Lytechinus pictus: one gene and its partner. The protein of the gene in region 1 interacts with the protein of each later gene in a pairwise test. Links are inferred from orthologs where the notes say so. Each region holds a gene or a part of one and is shown in the gene's direction. Other genes may lie near its edges.

Region 1 (11,354 bases):
GCCCTCTTTTGAGCTTCCCAAGTTATTGAGTGACTTTGTCTATCAATAACTTTAGCATACTTGTGCATAAATATTCTATGTATTTTATTTAATAGGGTTATTGATATTCTTTTCGGGGGGGGGGGCAAGTAAAATATCTGTTGACTAGAAATTAATTAGTTGATTTATTTGTAATGATTAATTTATCTTTGAACTAATTATTTATTTATTTTATTCACCTATTATTGTTATTATTATTATCTTTATTTTGTAAGTTTATCCCCATCAAGCAAACTTTAAACTTTTGAAGGGGTACATGAAAACTCTATCTAGTGTCGGTGATCAATGTATGAGTTGGGGGAGGGGGGATTGTCAGGTTTTTTAGTCAGTTGGTTGCAAATCTGGCAGTTTAAACTTTATCCTCAGTTGTGTCGGGCACTGCTTTGCCATGGTAATGGCATACTATGTATTACAGCAATATATCAGAAATACAGTATCTTGCAAAGTGAATTACTATCTCAGTTTTTGCCTAATACCCATGAGACTTTGCTATGGTTGTGGAATGAAGATGTGCTAGACACATTTTTCATTCAATGAGTTTAGTACTGATTTGCCGTACTACTTCTAAAGTTTCCTTGAGAAAGGAAGAAGACTATCTTGCTTTTCCTGCAGAAGGGGAAGTATTATTAATGGCCTTTGTCTAAATGAGACTTTGGGTATGATTTGTGTTGGAAGGGGGTGGGGTCAAAACAGTCTACAAAACGTAGCTCTTTACAAAATAGATGGAATTTTATAGCATTTTGCACATCTCGAGTTTTGCTTCAGTAGCAAGCTAAAAAAAAAATGGTCATAAGAGCTGTATGTATCTGGAATACAATTTACATAAATCCCAGAGAAAATGGCCCTTCTTTCTGTATTCTTTTTTCCAGAAAACATTTTCAATCCAACCCATACTGTACTTGGTAATGTATTGAGTTCCTTGTGAACTACAACCCTACTCTCTTTATATGAGCGACTCATCAAGGTCATTGGCATTGCGTAAACATGAAGACTTGATTTGTCACAACAAGTGTTGTCTGATAATTGATGAGTCAGTGATCAATGACAATATCTTTTCTGTGCATATGATTGCATCAGAGGCATGGAAGGGTTACTCATATTATACATGTTGGTCCAATGCTTCATGCACAGTCTACATGTACATACATGTAACATTTCTTTACATACTTGGAATGTACTGTAGACAATCTTATTGCTATTGCTACATGAAGTATCTGTACATTTGACAAGAGTCACAAGACTGTATGTACCCATGCTGTGTTAATTTAGTTTTTCTTGTGCACTGCTCCTGAAAAAATTGAAAGGAAAAGCCTACAAGACTGTTTTATATTCCTATGAAACAGTAATTGGCTCGTGATATTATGGAGTCTTTAGTGATGCATCTGTGTGCATTAAAAGTGATTGTTGTGTCAATTGTATTTTGAGTACATGTACCTGGTATTAAATTTGGAAGGAATTTCTGTGCGATGTTTTGTTTTCGACCAAAGTTTACAACCAAATGATTTGTACACGATATTTGTGAAGGTCATTGGTATGGCAGGACCCAGGTCTAATGGAACAGAGATCTTGAATATGAAAGTCAAACATATCTTGAGATCAGCTATTATTCCATTGTTTCCGAAAGCCTAGCATTGTCATTGGAGATTGAAATGCGTGATCATGTGGGCAGGAATTGTACCCTTGATAAATCATGTGAATTGGTATACATGTACAGGCTTTATACAGGGAAGGACCTCATACATGTAGATCTTCTTGCAGTCTTGGGTCAATTTTGTCGTTTGTTGCAATGCTGATTCATGCACTCTCAAGTTGTACATTTTTTATTTATGAATGTTGAGTTTTATGAGTTTTGAGCTGAAACATAATGCACATTACAGCATTCAAATCTTTCCAGGGGGTGGTTAAGAGTTAAATGTGACTTTTTTGTTTTAATAGAGTCATGCTTAAACCCCAACTCGCACATTATTTAATGCATAATCTGATTGATTGATATTCGGAAGTGCAGGTCAAATGCTCATGATCTGACCAGTGCGATGATGCGCTATATACCTCACGCAAATGGCCATTTAATTGTGCAACTCTAAGTTACACTTAACTCTAAATTGTGAAACACCACCCCCTTACATGTATAGCCATGATGCTTTGTTTGGCAACCCTTTTTGTTTGCAAAAATGCATACTTTTGTCAACTGTGACTTCTAGATAGGCCTACATTGTACATTGAGCTTTTAGAATAAGTATTGATATAAAAAATTGTAACTTTTGAATAAAAGATTGATACAGACATCGAATGCTGAGTTGCTAACCTCAAAATTTGTGAATTAGGAGCAAAGAATACATGTATGTTTTTTTTTTAACCATTATGAGTCATTTCCTTTCCTAATTTTCTTGATAAAATTACTGCACAACCATCTGGTGAATACTGTTAACTTTCTAATTTTTGAGCAAAATTATTTTACTTTCCACTTACATACAACAGGTACATGTGTAGGGATCAAGGTCTGTGTATGTTGCGCGATCTGCTCAATACAAGCCTACGTATGTAAATGTCATTTCCTTTGAATATGAATTTTATCCAGATACGTCACAATCTCTCTTACACACAGACAAGAGAAGTGAACTTTAAGATTTACATTATGACATCATGTATTTAAGTTAAAATGCTGTAATCTAGAACATTGAAGTCTATTAGAGGGTGATTAGCAATAAACTTGTGATGTCTAGTACAGTCTAGATTGTGTAATATTCAGGATCTCACTGTCTTGTGACTTGTCAATATAATTGTTTACTCTAAAAATAAAGCCCTATTCTGTTTGTACTTTGTTTATTAGGCAATAAATGAATGCAAAACCTGAGCGAAGTAAATATCTTTTTGTCAATAATATCTTATTTGAAATTTGCATATCCTGGTACAGTTATGTAATTTTTGCCATAGCTTTTCTAATGTATCTCTGCAATATTTCCTGTAATTGGAGCAAATAGTTCCTTCTCAATTTTTTTTTACTTCAATAAAAATTGTCGAAGTTCAGAGCCAACTCATATTCTCTCAACTCAATACAATAGATGTTGTCTGCTTTTGTGTTAAAGTTCCCAGAAGTGCTTGAATTTGGAGAGAATCGTTGAAACTAATATGCCAATTTTAATGCAGATTTTATTTTCATATGTTGGATAGGTCCACAAACAAGCCTTGCCTAAATTCTGCCCATGACATTGCAAAGTTCTTAATCTTTGCAAAATAAGTGTAACAGAGACAGGACGTTGAAGTTAATTAGATGATTTTGGTAATTGAATCCTTGGAAATCTGCTGTAGATAATTAACCAATAAGACTTTCTACCCTTGCCCTGGAAGGATTTGATCAATAGAGGCTTTAATAGCTGATTCATGTAGACTTGAGCTTGGTGCATATACTTTTGCATTGTGTCGTGTTCTGTTGTTTTGTTCTGGAGAATTTTGGATATACAGTATGATTACTGACTGGGAAAGAAATACTTGTGTACCTTACTTACGTCATGTTTAGACAAAATTGGTTTGTGTAGCCCCACATATACCCATTATTGTGTGGAATATTATTTATTGCTTCTGATTTGGATTGCACTTTTTATCTAAAAATAATCAACCATCAAATTAAGGTTTATTGCACTGTACATGTAGGCCTACTGTTTACTGAAAGTCCGCACTACTTTATAGAATCAGGTATTTCAAAATGAATATTATTTGAGCATATAATTTTGTGCTTTTCTAGTCTTGACATGAACTCATCTTTACCTTTAACCTTTCCTGCCAGCACGGATGTAAGAAGAGGAAGTCACGGGAATTGTGATGTGCTTGCTGCCATGTAGCAAAGTTCTACGTCATCAGATTTTACGATTTCCAACTCTTTGCTGTTTTTGTTAACAAAACAAAACAGCCAAATTTGTGCCTTGTACAGCCTGCCGTATTAACATTGTTATGAATTCTGACAAATATGATTAAAGAATGAGTCAATAGTGGTCAAGAGATAGTTTGGACACTGGTATCATTTTGTGCGAATTGGATCATTGGTTACCATGGCAACATCCAGGAAGCTACACCGATCAGGACTGAATATGCTTTCCTGTATGTCGAGGGATATACATGTCCATGTTCCGTGTAAGTTGCATGCATGAGGATGTAAATGATGATCATAATTCATAATATACTTTATAAAGTTACTCTCTGTTATTTAATTAGAAGAATATAGGTGAAATTTGTATATATTGGAATTTGCATTTTACAAACTGACTATTGACTACCGATACCTATTAAAAAGGGGAAAATATTTGTATCATATTTTTATATTTATGTATAATATTTATATCAAAAGTGATTTATTTAAAGAATAGCCCTTTCAAATCACAGAACCTTTGTAGCTACCCAGTAAATTATAAATTGGATATATATAATTGAGAACATTGGACTTGGTTTTTGGTAAAATAGTCCCTGTACAGTATATTATGAAAGAGTTTTCAATTTTTCTTGAAGATTCTGAGGAGATACATGTTTCAACAGTTAACTTATCTGCAGTTCATTTTGTGAGAAGTTCATACTGCTCTGAAGAATAATGACATCATTGCTAAATAGGCCATCATTTGTAATCGACGACAATCATTGCAGATGAAAACAAGTGGAAATTAATCAAAATAATGATTATGTCTCAAGTACCTTGCTATGCGATACTTTATATGAAGAGTAATAGAAACTGAAACAAAGGCTGCTGCTCTTGTAAGCTTCGGTGCATCTTCGAAAGAAAAAAAAATGATGAGGAAGCAAGCCATAATCAATCTTTTGTTAATGATTAAAATATGTTAATATTGTCTTGTAATTTAGTTTTGAAATGTGTAGATCGTATGGTATGATTGAATGATGATGCCACTCGAATCCTTTACAAAGATAACATGTACTTCATGTACTGTAATTGTTCAGGATATGACTGTGGCAGTGCATTTTACTGCATGCATTGACATTGTACTGAACATTGACTTGGATGATGATAACGGGATTTTCTGTTGATTTCTTGGAAGACGATGCATGCCAATACCAAGTCATGGAAAATCGTCGTCATGACTTTGAACGACTGGAATCGCGTGAACATGGTCGCTTCATGGGTAAGGGTCTAATTGCTTTTTGGGAATCAGTTTTGAATTTTCATATTGCGACAGGCCGCCGTGCAGACTGAAACTGGTCAGCCGTGTATTGCGCAATACCGCTGGGAAGTAAAAGTTGCGTTGTCTATGTATTGGCAATTCTTATATGTTGCCTTTTATTTTGTGTATGTTTCATATTCTTAACCATACTGATTTTGATTCGATATCCAGGTTTCACCCCTCTTAAATGTCTTTGAATGGTTAAGCTAGACAAAAAACAAGTTTACATTTTATTGTTGTTTCCGAGGTCAGTATTAGAAATTTTATGATTGATCATGTAAAGCTTTCGAGGAAGATTACCAGTACCAGTCTGAAAGGTACATGTAGAGCGACATGTACTGGTAATCTGCGAATCTTTACAAAAGCATCTTAAATCCACTTTATACTGCTGGCCTTAATCCATTCTCATTATGAAATATTGTCAACATGACTTGACTTACATTGAATCACGGTTGTCCGGGTTGCGCAATATTCTTGAGTGACTTTTACTTCTATTCTGCAAAACAGTTTTAGGGTTCAACGTCATTTCGTTTCGCTCGTGCTCGGCGTCCACATGACTTAATGGTTTGCTGAAAATTCTCTCCCGCCGCAAGTGCCACGCCTATTTCCGATTACAAAGTTTAACACGATTTCCTCGTAGACAAACTGTATTTTCAACACTTGCCGACGATTTCATGCGCAAGACAGTTCTACGTTTGCGTATACTCCGATGTTGCATTTCTGTCTTCAGCCTGTTGGAGTTTGTGACTTAATTGGTTCTATTCCGTATAGTAGATCAGATCACTTGATGATATTAGAATGGATTCATAAAATGAAGAAGAGACACTACAAAAGGGGTATGTACATTGTAATCCTCTCGGAAAAGACTTTGTAAAGATGTTGCAAGAAAAGATTTCATGCAAATTTGATGATATGATATACATGTTTACATGTATCTCTCTCTCTTGAAAATTAGATTAATTTATTACTTCATTTTAGAGGGTTGTATACTTGAGGCCAAGTTCATAATTATTTACCTAAATTTCAAATTGAATATTCAAATTGAAGTTCAATTAAAAAAACGTAAAGAATATTTTCTAATTAGAGATATTAAGAGGTGTACATGTAGCAAAACATCTTGATACGGTAGCATACATAAATAGTGTAGAGATACCGGTAGGAACAAAATACTAAATCAAAATGTTACAGAAATGCCTTGAAATCAAATTTTGAACTCCTTCCCAATGATATTTTTGTGAATTTATATCTTTCTTTTTTAGCTTTTCCCCTGCTAAAACGTGTACATGTACAAATGACATCCATACAGTGTATATGTACTTCTTCATCCAGAAGTCAAATACATGTACATGTATATCAAATCATAAGTTTACCTACAACATAAATCTTTTGCTGTAGACCGCCTTCAATAGCATGACCTGCTTTACATATGATACTTTGAGGTGTACATCAAAATACGGGGGAGCAGTTTATAAGGAAAACAAAAATAAAGGGAAAACTGATATTAGACTTTATAGTGATTTGGACTTTGCACTCGTATTATTTGAGGAGATTAGATTGAACATGGATCAAAACATTGAGTTCAAGTCACATGTTTATTATTAATGAAAACGATGGGTTGCTTATTACAGGAAGCTTGAAGGGAAATATCTCTTTGCCCTACAAAGGACCAAGGTTTACTGACGAGGAAAATACATGCAGTGAGAAAGAATATTTCACTGTGATATTAAAGTGTTGAGTATCGGTACATTCATTTGGTGAAATGATAACTTAGAAAAAAAGCATTGGAAAATAAATCATACATGTATGTTAGGGACATCATCTTAGCCACTAGAACTATTGTTTTATAGTGAATGAAGAATGAATGGAACTTGTGATTTTAAAAAATTTTAATTTCAAATAATAATAATAATTATTATTATTATTATTATTATTTTTTTTTTTTGGGGGGGGGGTTATGGCTTAATTTTGTTTTCTACACAAAATACCAGCTACTTGTACCAGTACTTGATAATGACTGGTATTCATTCTGACATACATTGCAATACAACATGCCAGCATTATTGGTGTTTTGTATGTAATTAGTCCTTTAATCATATCTAATCTTAAATCTATCTGTTGACACCAGTTCTCCGTGGTCTTTATCAATATCATGAACTTTGGCCAGGTGTTGCTTGATATCATTATTATTATTAATTACATGCATGTACAGGTATACATGACTCACTTCTTTCCTACATGTACATATTTCAGTGCATTTTGGAGAATTGTAAAGCCAAGGATGACATTTGTGTTGTGGGACTGTTCTTAAAATTAGAATACCGTGATGCCACCTACTCACCATTTCATGTGTATTTGACACATAGGCAAACAGTGACAAATCTGCTAATTTCATTGTAAAAGTAAACAGTTTTGTTGAGTAACAATCGGGTAACAATGAACATGTACACTGTATGTAAAAGGATACCACACAGGATTTAATCAGGATTTGTTATTGCTTGCACGGATATTTGTGATGTTGAACACATACAATTGCACTGTACATTGAAAGATTTATAATTGAACATTTTGGAGACTGCAGTTGTGTACCAAATGAAGTTTGAACAATCTTTATGATGCCCATCTGTGATGTGGATAATTTGTGGGAACTTGCATAAGTTTACTTGTTCCATCCATGTAGCTACTGTGAGAGATTTTTACATTTTGATGCCAAAACATAATCAGTTTGACTCCATCATTCAATGCTTACATAGTTTTCAATGACAAAGTATGTGGATTTAGTGTGTTTTTTTAATACTGATCGGCTCCAGGATTGATTGAGTACTCATGAACATTGCAAATATAGAGAGGAGTCAGAGGACTTGTTTTGTTAGCACCTTGCATGTGTGTCTGAACATTTTTTGCACCAGAAAAGCCCAGGATATTTGTTTTCTTTTAACAATGATAATTTTGTTGCTACCCGGATTGATTGATCCGTCGTCATGAATATTATTAATCCAACGTATGAGAAAACTTGTTTTTAATAGTACTGTGCACCTTGCACTGTGTGTCTGAATTGATTTTTGCACCAGAACACTTTTTATTACACTGCCAAGAGCTATGTCTTTCTATCCTGTTAATATTTATTCAAGTATAGACTTAGGCAAGTATGATGTTCCTTGTAGAGTAGAGGGTAGGAGCAGATGCATAAATTGTGTTGTTGTTTTTTTCATTTATTTTTGTAGTCTGTTGAACTGAAAAAACAGTGACAATATTTTTCAAAATATTGCTCTGTACAGTTCAAAGTCCCACTCTATATATACTGTACACTTCAGTATGAACAAAAAAAAAACAATGACATACAGACCTGTGCACAATAATTCTTGAATCATTAGAACATTGAATGGAATAAAATAAATGATTAAATCAAGCAAACATTAAAAAAACTAAGTTTCTATAAAGATTCACACGTTATAGCAGGGTTCCCACTTCTCAGCCAATCAGGGAAATCAGGGAAAATTATTTTACTTTTTTCCAGTCAGGGAAAAATCAGGGAATTTGATTTTAAAAATACCTCAAATCAGGGGAAGATGCGTGACTGAAATGAGGGAAAATTAGGGAATTTTGATCAGCCCAAAAGTCGAAAGCACGGTAGTCAGTCAGACTCTGTTATATTTTGTTGCATATCAAAACAATATCCATTGAATGACTGGTTATGGTGGTACTAATTATTTTTTACATTATTGTTTTTATACTGAAAATATATGTAATTCACTGCAGCAACTTGCGAAACTGGAATTGGGTTTAAATGATTAATCAGGAAATTTATAAACTTCATCAGGGATCCAAAAATCAGGGAATTTTGTTTTCTTGAAGAGCTGGGAACCCTGTATAGTCACTTAATTTTCTTTTTAATAGTATTTTATTACATTTTGAATGATTCTATTATATCCCTTTGTTCATTCAAATTTGTTCAAATTATCAGCCTACGTGTTTGTAAGCAGTATCTGGTGAAGACAGTTCTGTGCAACTACATGTATACATACTTCTTGATATGCGTACGCTATGTAGTTGTACAGGAAACACATGTATACTGTTTATGTAGTTGTACAGGAAATACTCGCTGTTAAAGTTGTATATTGCCTGTTTTGGTGCTTTCATAATAGTAACAATTAGAAGTGTACATGTACATATAGAATAATTGTTTATTTCTTGGGTTGACATACATGTACATGTACATGTATGTATTGTATCACAATCAAAGTTTCAATAGTTATATTTCTTTATGAAACAGGTCCCCAGATTATGCAAAAACATATTATTTCAATACCTCTCTTTAAAGAAAGTTGAACAGATTTTGATTGTCATAGATTTGACTCAAATTGTATATGTGCCAAGAATCTATACAGTATAGTGCTGTATGTATATTATGTGCATGTACAGAACATTGATTGATTGCATTGCTTGAAAATTGACTTAGTATTTGAAAAGTAAATATCAAAGTTGCAGGTACTTGTGCATTGTCACAATTGCACTGAACATGAAATACAGGCACATGATACTTGTGCATAATACCTGTAGTGCATGAGTGATTGTATAGGTACAATGTGATACTAGGCATTGTAGACTTGCATGTTTAGACTAAAGAGATTAGTACCTGGACCTAACATGCCACATTTGGTCTTCTATCCCCATGCAGCATGTGCAACCTATGAGAGTGGTATGGTGGCCTTTGAGGACTTCCCCACGGACCTAGGACCAATCTGGATCCTCGGGAAGCAATATGACCTGACGCAGCACCAGCTAGAAGCCAGGCTGGATGTCCTATCAAGGTTGTGGTTCACGTACCGCAAGGGGTTCTCAAATATAGGTAAGAGATCGATTCCCCTCCTTCATCGATGATTGATCCGCAAACTCCATTCCTATTTTTCTTTAATAGTGTTCCCTATGAATCTTTAGACTTCTCTAAGAAATTCCTTGGAAGAATTTGACCTTAGTCACCACCAACTAGAAGCCAGACTTGGATTTTTCTCAAGACTGTCATTGTCATATGTAAAAGGGTCTTTCAGATATACATGTAGCCCTTCCTCACCAGTTGCTGCTGAGCCCATACCCCACCTCTGCCCTCTATACAGTATATCTCCCTTTTAATTAGATTATTTGAAAGAATTTTTCATATACTTGTAAAAAATATACAGAAGTTTATGATACCATGGACTATCTCATTTGCACATCACTTGTGCTGTGCATAAAGTGAAACTTATCTTCCTCATTTCACATCCAATTTCAATGAAATATTCAGTGTTATTTTATGATTGTTTTAAATTCCCTATTTGTTTACCTTTTGATGGGGTAGACCTGACATTTATCCATTTTCAAGACTTTGGCCCGTATTCTGAAGTCAGGTTTAACTTAGACCACGTTCTAACTCTGTGCTAAAATTATGGGAAGCCAAAAGTGTCAAAATTTTTTATTGAGTTGTATGTTTCTTATGTTAACTTAGCTCTTTCCTGATTCATTGATGGTGAAGACAATCATCTATTTATACTTCCTAGACAATTATGAATGATTTGAGAGCCAAATGAGCTGAAATATGATATCTCTACCGTTAGTGATTTATGTAATAATTGGCTATCCATACTTATCGACTTCAGAATGCGGGCCTATAAGTTCATGTTATGATGTATTTGACAGGTGGAACTGGACCAACAACAGACCAAGGATGGGGATGCATGCTACGGTGTGGTCAAATGATGTTAGCACAGGCACTTGTCTGCAAACACCTAGGAAGAGGTATGATTGTGATACACAGGTTGTGTCTTTAATCTTTAGATCCATATAGGCATTCACAGTGAGTTCTTCAAATTTGTTGGATATCACTTTTAGTCGGGGGGGGGGGGGGAAGAGATGACCCTGTCCTGTAGCCTGCAGTTCTGAATTTACAATTTGAGGGTAGGAAACAACACCCCCTCTCTCTCTCTCTATATATTGCTGCCAATTTTGCTTATTACTGATAATTTGGTCTCCGACGAAGGTTCTGCTAGGATCGAAAGCTTAGGCCCCTTTGACTCTCAAATTTACTCCATTGGCTCTCTTTTTTTAGATAAGCAGTTTTCAGCAGCTTTTTTCTGCTACTGATAATTTGAAGTAAATTAAAAAAATAATAATAATTTGGGT
Region 2 (11,177 bases), on another chromosome or scaffold:
ATTTTTTTTATCATGAAGTTTGTTTAGGGGTCAACGGCCACGAGCCCCCATTTTTACAACAGTATTCATTACTGAACATCATAAAATGTAAATATTTCCAAGTCGTTTTCCCCCTCATAGTCTTTTTTATATCAACCCCCCCCCCCCCCCAATAAGTAAGATGATCTCCGCCACCTAAAGAACAAGTATTAAAATGATACTACATGGATGATAGGCCCAGTGATACGACAAACATTTCGAAGTGAAAATCTCTACTTCGTGATAATTTTCAAAGAAGTTTACATTGCAAATTCTGATGATCAAGTTTAATTCTCAGATGAATGTTACTATATACTCAGTATTCCCATTCATTTGAAATGAGTAAAGTAATTGAAGGAATGTCGCAGGTTTTGTTGTATTATTTAACTTCATTTCAATTCAATTAAACATCTATTTTATTCCAATTGACATTTATTATATAAATTGTACATGGAAGAATGCACAAAAACCCAGAAAGCAGATGCCTTTGTCGGAAATCGGGATACCTTTAAAACCATGAGTAAACAACAATTAAAAAGTAAGGGCAAGAGAAGGGAAAGGAAGAAAAGAGAGGAGTAGAAAAGAGCATATAGAGAGGCGAGCAAGCAAGTAGAATAAGAAAGGGCATGAACTTATGATGGAAATGACCTAGGAGTAGATTTAACGCATATTTTAGTGAAGCAGCTCTTTTTTTTTTATTGATCTCCTGCAAATATCATTGAGGAGATATTTGCTCAAAATATTATCCTGGCATATTAAAAGCCTATTTTTACAAGAAACTGTTAAATTAAGTTACCTCACCCTTTTTCGAACTTGACATGTATTTAGAAATATCGTCTTTTGGCATCCCCATTGGAGCAAAAGGGCATTTTTGCTGTATCGTAAACAGCGGAAGCAGTTTTTTGCCTCAATGGGGGCTCCAAAATGGCAGATTTTCCATAAATAGGCAAAATACGAAAAAGGGGTGGGTAACTTTGGCAGGCCTCTAAGGGATAGGCTTCGACTTCCTAGCATTTCTTTATATGCAGCTGATAGGGAAAAAAGTACTCGTTTGTCTCCAAATAGTTGTAAGACGAATTAAGCGGCTTGCCTTACAGCAGAAACAGCTTTTTGTCTCAATGGGGGCTCCAAAATGACAGATTTTCCAAAAAAAAACAAAATACGAAAAAGGAGTGGGTAACTTCGGCAGGCCCCTGAGGGGGTAGGCTTCGATTTCCTATAGCACTTCTTTGTATGCAGCTAATAGAGAAAGAGATAATTGTTTGTCTCCAAATAGTTATAAGACGAATTAAGTGGCTTGCTTTACAGCGGAAACAGCTTTTTGTCTCATTAGGGGCTCCAAATTGGCAGATTTCCCTATAAATAGGCAAAATTCGAAAAAGGGGTGGGTGACTTCGGCAGGCCCCTGAGGGGATAGGCTTCAATTTCCTAGCACTTCTTTGTATGCAGCTGATAGAGAAATAGGTATGTTTTTGTCTCCAAGTAGTTATAAGACAAATAAAGTGACTTGCTTTACAGCGGAAACAGCTTTTTGCCTCATTAGGGGCTCCAAATTAGCAGATTTCCCTATAAATAGGCAACATTCGAAAAAGGGGTGGGTGACTTAGGCACTTCCGTGAGGGGACATATAGGCTTCGACTTATCGCACTTCCTTATATGTAGCTGATAGAAGAATGACTACTCTTTCACCTCCCTATAGTATTAAGGGGATTTATGTGGCTTGTTTTACAACATGAATAGCTTTTTGAATCAATGGGGGCTCCAAAATGGCAGATTTTCCCACAAATAGGCAAAATACGGAAAAGGGGTGGGTAACTTCGGCAGGCCCTTGAGGGGGTAGGCTCAAATTCCCTAGCACATCCTTATATGCAGCCGCTAGAGAAAAGCCTACTATTTTGTCCCCAAGTGATTTCATGACAATAAAAGTGGCATTACTACTTAGCAGAAATGTTCTATTTGCCTCAATGGGGCCTCAAAATGGCAGATTTTTACATAAATAGACAAAATACTGAAACTAGCTGGGTGACTTTGGCAGCCCCCCTGCGCGAGAAGGTTGCCAGCACCTCTTTATTTAAAACAGATATATAAAGGGTTACTCCTTTGTCTTAAAGTGGTTTCAAATGAATAAAAGAGGGTTTACTACATAGTAGAAATGCTATCTGCCTCAATAGGGACTTCGAATTGGCAAATTTTCCAAGAAATATAAAAACTTCGGAAAAAGGATGGGTTGACTTTGGCAGCCACCCCCCATTCCCCCCCCCCGGAGGCATTTCTGCCAATAAACCCTACAAAAGAATTTACAATTTAAAGAAATTAGAAATAAATTGAGTTTGAAGAAAGAAAATGGAATATGGTTGGGATCAGATTATATCCCCAGTGAACAAGAAATGATTATTGATTCATGCAGCGTTGGATCTCAAACTGACGGCACTACAAGATTGTGAAAAGTAGCCCATATATGGTAGTTAAAACATATCTGAAATGTTTAACAAATATTGCCAAAATCTTCATTTTGCTATGAATAACGCATATTTAGTCACATTGTAGTTATATAGAGCGCCTCATGTTTAACAACACAAAATCACTTTATCGTATCAATTTTTTCATATCTACTTGAGATGGAAGTGGATATTGGCCATGAGTGCATGTATTCGTAATTTGAAGGTTTGATATCTCAATTTCACTTTTAAATGTTACTGTTACGTTAGAGCTGTCACCCAGCAACATGTTGATACATAAATGACGTATTTATGGCATATACAAGCGGAGATAGGCCTATGGCAACTTACATTTAACCTTATACCCTTAAAGGTTATTGATTTTTTTTCTCAATTTTTTGCTATTTTACATTGCTCTTTAAATTCGACTGTAGAAAAAAAGTGATACCACAATTTGAGACTATTACCTACCTAGCAGTAATCTAGAGGGCAAGCCTAGAAATAAGCGGGCGCTGAGCGCAAATTCGCGCTCATAAAGCCATCAATAATTGCGCCCATAAAGCCCCCAAATCATCAAAATTTTGACGACCGGGCGCAAATATTTTCCAGGTAATTGCGCCGGCCCGCCGTGAGTGAGCAGTGAAGCCATATCATACATTTAATTTAAATATCTGAAAAGCCAAAATCAAGTAACTTTCAATTTACAATAAGCACAGTTTCAAATTGCCAAGTGCGTCTTTTTTTCTGTACCATAAAAAGTGAGCTACGTCCGTTTTTTTTCTGTAATACATGTGCGCGCGTGCTTCCGGTAGCGGTTTTTCTATACTTCACCATGTGCAATTTCTAATGCATACATTTCCAGTTGGGATATCACAATACTGTGATATAGTAATTCGAATTGCACAGGAGATAAATCCCTGTTCACAGCACATACGATGTGCGAGTCTTATTTCTTCACAGTCGCCGACTTTGCTTGTCAAAACGGAGCCTTAATAATCCAAAATCACTTAGCTTATAGTTGTGAATTATAGCTTTTTAATTTCTTTATTGGAGAGGGGTAAATATCAGACAATAAATCATCAAACAAGGCTCCATCTAAAAAAAGAATAGGAGGACGCCGTGCACTTGAGTGTGGTGTTAGCTAGCCAGTTTGAGCTCATGTTCTCTGCCAGAGCTAGCTCTGGGTGAGAATTCTATCAGTAATGGCCTAAGTGATGGTGATTTTCCGTTTCAGATAGAGTTTAGATTTCATGTTAATTTTTGAAAACTGTCAAAAAACTTTATGATTTCTTCATTGTGATGAATATTTAAGTTATTAATGAATACATTTTCACCGAATTTAGACTCTCCCAGAATGAAGGGCATTTTCTGTGGAGATCTGCGTTTTCAAATAACTTGTGAAAAACGTAAGGTACATGAACCTACAATTCATGTACATAGCCTAGTGTGGCTATGTCCCGGGGGGGCCAGTTCCATTCACGAGTGGATACCATGCGCGACCATGGGGTCTCGAAAAGCACCCTAAACACGTAATTTCCATATTCTGAAAATGCACCCCTTAACAAGTTTTGGCGTGTGAAACCCTACCCTTAACAAGTATTGGAAACAAAACGATACTCTTGGCAAATATTCCCTGAAATGAACCCCTAAACAAGTACAGGAATGTTTTATTGTTACGGGTCCTTCGGTCGTCGGCTTTACCTAATTTGGTTTAGTACGACCCCATCTTCTACACCTCGCGCAAATTGGACTCTAAACACGAAGTGTTGGGGCAAAAAGGACATCCTTTATAAAACATTTTAATTTTAATTTATCATCCCCGCAAATTCGACCCTAAACACGTAAGGGCCTAGCGAAATAGATACCCTTTTTTCATTATTTTTGTGTTTTTGACACCCTTATCACGTTACGTACGTAACGTGCCCTATCGTGAAAAAGACATCCTTTTTACGTGTTTTTTTGGTCGCGCATGGTATCCACTCGTCAATGTAAGTGGCCCCCCCCGGGGGCTATGTGCTGGAATTTGACTAGACTGAGTTAGATATTGATTTCATTTCTTCATTTCTTTAACATAATTTATATGCAATACATGCACCTCAGTCACAATCACATACAAACACTCACCCACACCCGTGATTCTAACCATGAAAAAAAAACCTTAAAAATTATTTTTTTTTTCTAAATTTATCATTTGATCTGAATTCTCTCTTTCTCCATCTCTCTCTCTTTTTTTAAATATTTTTATGTTATTCATTTATTTAGATTTTTTTTTTGGGGGGGGGTTCATGGTTCATTAAAGATGAAAAAATAAATAAGCCCATGTGTGTGTGGTTGTAAAGGGGATGTGGAGTGAGGGTGTCAAAACACACTTAAACGTTTAAATCTGATTTCTTAAATGTTTGAATAAGCCTAATACTTAGCATGCTATTCATGTTAAAAAAATTGCAGGAGCTGCGCTTACTATAAACAAATTTGCGGTGTGGTTCACCGTTGTATATATATTTTTTTAATTGCCCCCGGTTCCTGTAAAAAGCCCGTGAGCCGGGGGCAATTTTTTTTGAAAAATTGCCCCTGGTCTGCAGCTGCTTATTTCAAGGCTTGCTAGAGGGTCCATACTACCCCCCTATGGTGTCAAACCTTTTCTGTGGTGTGGGTTGTACGAACTCCTTAAAGGGATGGTCCGGGCTGAAAATATATATATCTTAATACATAGAGTAGAATTCACTGAGCAAAATGTCGAAAATTTCATCAAATTCGGATAACAAATAATAAAGTTATTGAAGTTTAAAGTTTAGCAATATTTTGTGAAAACAGTCGTCATTAATATTCATTAGGTGGGCTGATGATGTCACATCTCCACTTTCCGTTTTCTTATGTTATTACATAAAATCATAATTTTTTCATTATTTCATACTTGTGTGAATATATGTCTCCCTTTAATTATATTGAAATAAGTTGCAGCAATAATTATCTAATGCACTAAATCAGTTGTCAATCCAATTTTTCTAGTTCTTGGAGGAACAATTTTGAATAAACCTAATTTCATATAATAAAATACAAAAAAACAAGTGGGGATGTGACATCATCAGACCTAATGAATACTCATGACGACTGTTTACGCAAAAAAATTGCTTAACTTTAAAATTCAATAACTTTGTTATTTTTTATCCGATTTTGATGAAATTTTTGGCATTTTGCTCAGTGAATTCTACTCTATTTATTAAGCTATAAATACTTTCAGCCCGGCCCATCCCTTGAAATAGGGCCCCTATGAGATTTTGCTCCCGGACTATATGTTGGTTGTTCCGCTGAACTCCGTTGGCTCCACTCACCAAAATGTGTACGAGGAGAAATTTAAACAAAAATTAAAAATGTTCAAAAACTCCTCGAAACAGACGGCTGCCAGCTGTCTAGCTCTGGCAATGCATGTGAGCTACGGGCCGGGGTGAGCTTTGCCAACTTTATGACTACGATGTTTTGGGGCCGGGGGAGGGGTGTCGAACGTATGACGACTTTGCTATTTTTAGTAACAGTACACCAGCTGATGCGTACAATAATGTACGGGATGGGAATACCCAAAGTGACGCAATTTCGTCACTAGGTTGATCAAAATAATATCCTTCCGCGTTCATATTTAATTGGTAAATGAAAAGAAAAATGCCCTCTTTTGCTGTATAACTCACGGTTTATAATAAAAACGAAATTTTCATGTATTTGTAATGAAAAAAATTCATTCCAATCTCCTGAAAATCACATTTTAGACCTATATTTTACCTGCATGGTTCTCGAGATGAGGGAGACCTTCGGCTCGCCATTTTGTCAACAAAAGCAAATGGTGAAACGATAGACGACGATTGTATTTTGGTATAAAGATCTTTTTCTTCTCAACTTGTAGGTTAACGAATTGAAATGAAGTGGTTATATAAAGAAGAACACCCCTTCGAAAAGAGGAGACAAGAAGGAGAAAAAATTAGGAAGAAATATCCCGATAGAGTACCGGTAAGTAAGGAAATGACCAGTCATCAGTGCAGTCAGGCAGTGACAAATCGTTCGGTTTGTTGTTGATTTCGCAATTGCAATGGGGGTGCATTGGCAGCAATGGCATTACTAGGGCGGCATAACTTATAAGCCAATGGCAATGAGTGCAATAGAAATGCATGCAAATGAAACAGAATTTTAAAGTGAGAAGGGACCTTAACATCATTCTCTCGGGGCAGTAGAGGCGCACGGCCAATGGGAGACTCGGCCATTCCGTGCTTTTGGGAACTGGTAGCCAAATTGAACTTGTACCTCCTTTTACCACGATATGTAAAGAATCTTCGCTTCGGCGATTTTGAAAAGAATTGATGCGAGAGACTTTGTTTACGATGCGAAGCTCCTCACACAACTGGTTACCTCTTTCCTCATGCGATGTTTAACGGGCTCAGTTTGCCATGGGTGGACAAGTTTTCAGATGACATCGACGATTCCGCGGAATTATAATTTTTGTAATTATCCATCTACCCCGCATTTTCCTGCTCTTCGAGACCACTCTGCCACTTTCACAATGTTGACAAAAACTTATATTACAAAATCGATTCACTAAATAAATCACAAACAAGATATATCTGGGGATGAATCACTTTAGTAAACTGTATTATCTACTCGTGAAAATAGGAACCAGCATAGCTGGTTCCCATTTTCACGAGTAGATAAAGACAATTTACTAGTGAAATTTATTTCGTCAGAGTCATCACTGACGAAATAAATCTCATTGGCAATCTCTCTCTATATCTACTCTACAAAATGGGAACCATCTAAGAAAATTCTCCTGAATTATAAATGCTGGTTCCCATTTTCACGAGTAGATAAAGACAGTTTATTAATCAGATTTATTTCGTCAGAGAATCATCACTAACGAAATAAATATTACTAGTAATCTGTCTTTATCTACTCGCTGAAATGGGAACCAGCGTGTACAACTCTATTGAGAATTTTCCACGCTGGTTCCCATTTTGGCGAGTAGATTAAACTAGTTTACTCTACTCGCTGAAATGGGAACCAGCGTGTACAACTCTATGTGGAGTTTTCCATAGAGTTGTACGCGCTGGTTCCCATTTCAGCGAGTAGAGTAAACTAGTTTACTCTACTCGCTAAAATGGGAACCAGTGTGTACAACTCTATGGGGAGTTTTCCATAGAGTTGTACGCACTGGTTCCCATTTTGGCGAGTAGAGTAAAGTAGTTTATTAAATCTAATCGCCAAAATGGGAACCATCTAAGAAAATTATCATGAATTATACATGTTGGTTCCCATTTTCACGAGTAGATAAAGACAATTTGTTAGATTTATTTCGTCAGAATCATCACTGACCAAATAAATCTCATTGGCATTCTCTCTCTCTATATCTACTCTTCAAAATGGGAACCATCTAAGAAAATTCTCCTGAATTATAATGGTTCCCATTTTCACGAGTAGATAAAGACAGTTTATTAATCAGCTTTATTTCGTCAGAGAATCATCACTAACGAAATAAATATCACTAGTAATCTGTCTTTATCTACTCGCTGAAATGGGAACCAGCGTGTACAACTCTATTGAGAATTTTCCATAGAGTTGTATGCGCTGGTTCCCATTTTAGCGAGTAGAGAAAAGACGGCGACGAAATCAATCTTTCTGATCTAAGCTCTTTGAAGGATTACTTTATCTAGAATCAGCGCGCCAGCTGCGGTGAAGCAGTGAACAAGCTCGAAAAGGTAGGTAGGTCATGTCTTGTCGTGAAAAAGTGTCCTTTGGAAATTAGGAACTGGTTCCCAATTTCACGATAATGCCGGAGACTCTCCAATACGGGAGATAATCTCCCATACTTGCTTTGCAAAAGGCAAACAAGAACAAAAGAAACTGCATGCATGCCAAGTCCAAGAAACATTTTTTTATAATTAATTATACAAAAAAGTCAAAAGCGTAATTTTTTCCACCCAAAATTTTGTCTCACTGAAGTCAGAAGCCCATTTGTTGTGTGTGTGGATGACAACAAAAATCCTAGTAATATTAAAACAAAAGTAGATTATGGTGAAAAGGGGTAATTTTTCATGAGGATTCTGCTTTTATTTGCCGCCAAGAGCAAGGTAATCCTTTTGAAGCAAATGTTAACAAAGGAAATTGGTCTCCCAAACTGGAGACTGTCTCTGAAATAAGAATTCCAAATTCTTTACAAAAGTCTCAGATATTGGAGATAATCTCTCTCATGGGAGACAGTCTCCCATATTGGTCGTGCGCCTCCACTGGGGGGGGGGGGGCAGTCAAATATATTGCTGTACACATACGTTGCCAAAAAACACGTTCTTTAAGGGTATTTTTTCAGTTTTGGATGCGGACCACACATGCACTCGTTTTTTAGACCCCGCTCATTAAGGGTATCAAAAACACAGATTTTCCACACAAAAAGGTGATTTTGAAAGACTGGTCAATGGTCAATTGCGGAGTTGAAGCGTATTTAGGATATGTGTTTTTCCCCAAAAGCTTTTTTTTTAAGACTAGCCAAACGTGTTTACGTGAAATTAAGGTATGTTTTTACCCCGGGGCTTTTTCCTCCTGTTTGTGAAAAGTAATTCGGGTTCCTCCCAATCGTCACAGAGAGTTGCTTCTTTTTGTCGTTTTGCTGGGACAGCAGTTGGCCTTTTGATTTGGCTTACAAAATGTCTGCAATCAACAGATCAAGGTAAAGGAAAAAAAATGAAATCCATGCATCATGCCCATGTTGTATGATGAGAGAGAGTATGAAATATTTGAATTTTATCCTGATGTGAAACATAGTTTTATTCCTCCCAGAACTTTGGAATATCCACTCATCCAGTGTAGATCTACATGTACATGGACAAGATCATATCCATTGTTTTAAGATTTTGTGGTTCGGTCAAGAGGGTCCTTAAATTTATTGTCGAATCTATAATAAAAAATAATAAATAGAGCTAGGTCTATTGTATTCATTAAAACAATAGAAAAAAAATTATGAATGAGTGACATAATCAGCTCTCTCATTTCTGAGTTGGGCATTCATGTTTTGAAAAGATGAGCAAAACTTTAAATTGTCATAAATTTCTTATTTTACATCTGATCACGATGAAATTTATGTTCTTCAAAATCTATCATAAAATTGTGGATATTCCACTCCCTATCAACATTAAAGCAGCTCTCTTCATAAGCAGACAAGATCTTCCTCTCAAGCTCACCATACCTGATGCTTCCGTAGACGCTTTCAAATATCCTCGTACTGTGAGAATCTGGAACAGTCTTCCCTTTTCAGCTATCAACACACCTTCCCTCACTACCTTCCAGGCGGCTGCCTTCCCAGTTATCAGAAGTTTGCAGCCACCTGCTGGACTTTGGTTTATATTGTAAACTGAATGGCCATGTTTTTACTTGCACCCTCCACTTTTTATTGTAAATAACCTCCAACGTCACTGTCGGCCATTGACTGCACATGCACCCATCCCAGTTTAGCTTCCAGTATGAGATGCAAAAGGGATTATTACTTCAAGGTTCAGTGTTAGGCTTGTTTGATTTTCTCTATTGATTCAAATCAACACTTTTGTTGGGTGGATTTGACATTTAAAGAGAAATGCCAGTCTCGAAATGAGTTCGAACAGAATCCAATAAATTTACTACCCAAGTGTTGGTATGTATATGGGCTGATTACTAGCTGATTGGCTCTTGAAGAAATTGCTTAGAAATTAGAAAATAAACAAGGAATTCCATCAAATGTCAGGTATTTTTCCAAGCAATATACATGTAGTGGTCAAAAGTGTTGTCAGTTTTCATCTAAGATTTCACGATTTCACAAAGATAAGAACATACCAGCTCTTAATCTATGATAATGGGGTGACAATTAACATGATTTCAAAGACTTTCTCATGAAATATCTGTTTGCTGCAACTACATTCTATTACCTTAATGTGTTTTTTCAACGAAAAACATTTTGCCTTCACCAAAACTTTGCCTTATATAGTATTGACAACTATCTAGCGCCATGAGAAAACAAGACACATTGCAATCAATCGCATTTTATGATTAATACCATGCCAGTTCATTTCCATTTTCTCAGTTGGAGTTAGTTAATGTCATACAAGTGTTACATGTACTCTGTTCAAATTCAAATGAACACAAAAATCTGTACTGTCAGACATCAGTGTACATGTTACATGTAATGCCATAGATTTGTACTAGTCTACTACTTTGTCAGTTAAAACTTTAAATCATTGAATTGTTCGATCAATGATATAATATAATATTGTGTATGCTTTGATGTTTCATTGATTCATTCTCACTGTAGGCCTATCATTTTGATATCATTAACAGGGCTCCACACTAATCCTTTTTTCTACTGGTCCGACATGATCAGGTCGGACCAGTACATACCCATGTTTTTACTGGACCGAACCTAAAATTTACTGGTCCCAAAAAATAAAGAAAAATATAAAAAAGCCTTGAGTTTATTTTGCTGTCTTTTATTGCTTATTGTTACCCCCCCCCCCCCAAAAAAAAAAAAAAACAGTACACACAACATAATTCATGAGAGCCATTTTTTTTTAGACGCCAGAGCCATTTTTATAATTTACAAAAGAGAAGAAAATATATTTTGTATCAGTGAGATATAATCTTACTGGTCATGTCGGACAAGTAAATCTGGCTTTTTCTGAAAAGTTACTGTCCCGACAGCAATTTTTACCAGTCTGGGACCAG

What was found.
Region 2: the proteins of cysteine protease ATG4B-like (region 1) and gamma-aminobutyric acid receptor-associated protein interact in binary tests that used the Caenorhabditis elegans proteins (3 or more experiments, as listed by UniProt). The link is inferred for Lytechinus pictus from reciprocal best matches to the Caenorhabditis elegans genes atg-4.1 and lgg-1.

Annotation. Positions count from the first base shown.
Region 1 is NC_087260.1:27,171,380-27,182,733, forward strand, and holds the start of cysteine protease ATG4B-like, read left to right. Parts: upstream 1-5,895; 5' UTR 5,896-5,910; coding exon 5,911-6,037; intron 6,038-7,449; exon of another isoform or gene 7,450-8,297; coding exon of another isoform or gene 8,298-8,340; intron 8,341-9,876; coding exon 9,877-10,047; intron 10,048-10,871; coding exon 10,872-10,970; intron 10,971-11,354. UniProt on the Caenorhabditis elegans protein: Cysteine protease required for autophagy. Cleaves the C-terminal amino acid of ATG8 family proteins lgg-1, to reveal a C-terminal glycine.
Region 2 is NC_087258.1:11,679,802-11,690,978, reverse strand, and holds the start of gamma-aminobutyric acid receptor-associated protein, read left to right. Parts: upstream 1-6,059; 5' UTR 6,060-6,365; coding exon 6,366-6,455; intron 6,456-11,177. UniProt on the Caenorhabditis elegans protein: Ubiquitin-like modifier involved in the formation of autophagosomal vacuoles (autophagosomes). When lipidated mediates tethering between adjacent membranes and stimulates membrane fusion during autophagy. Recruits lipidated-lgg-2 to maturing autophagosomes.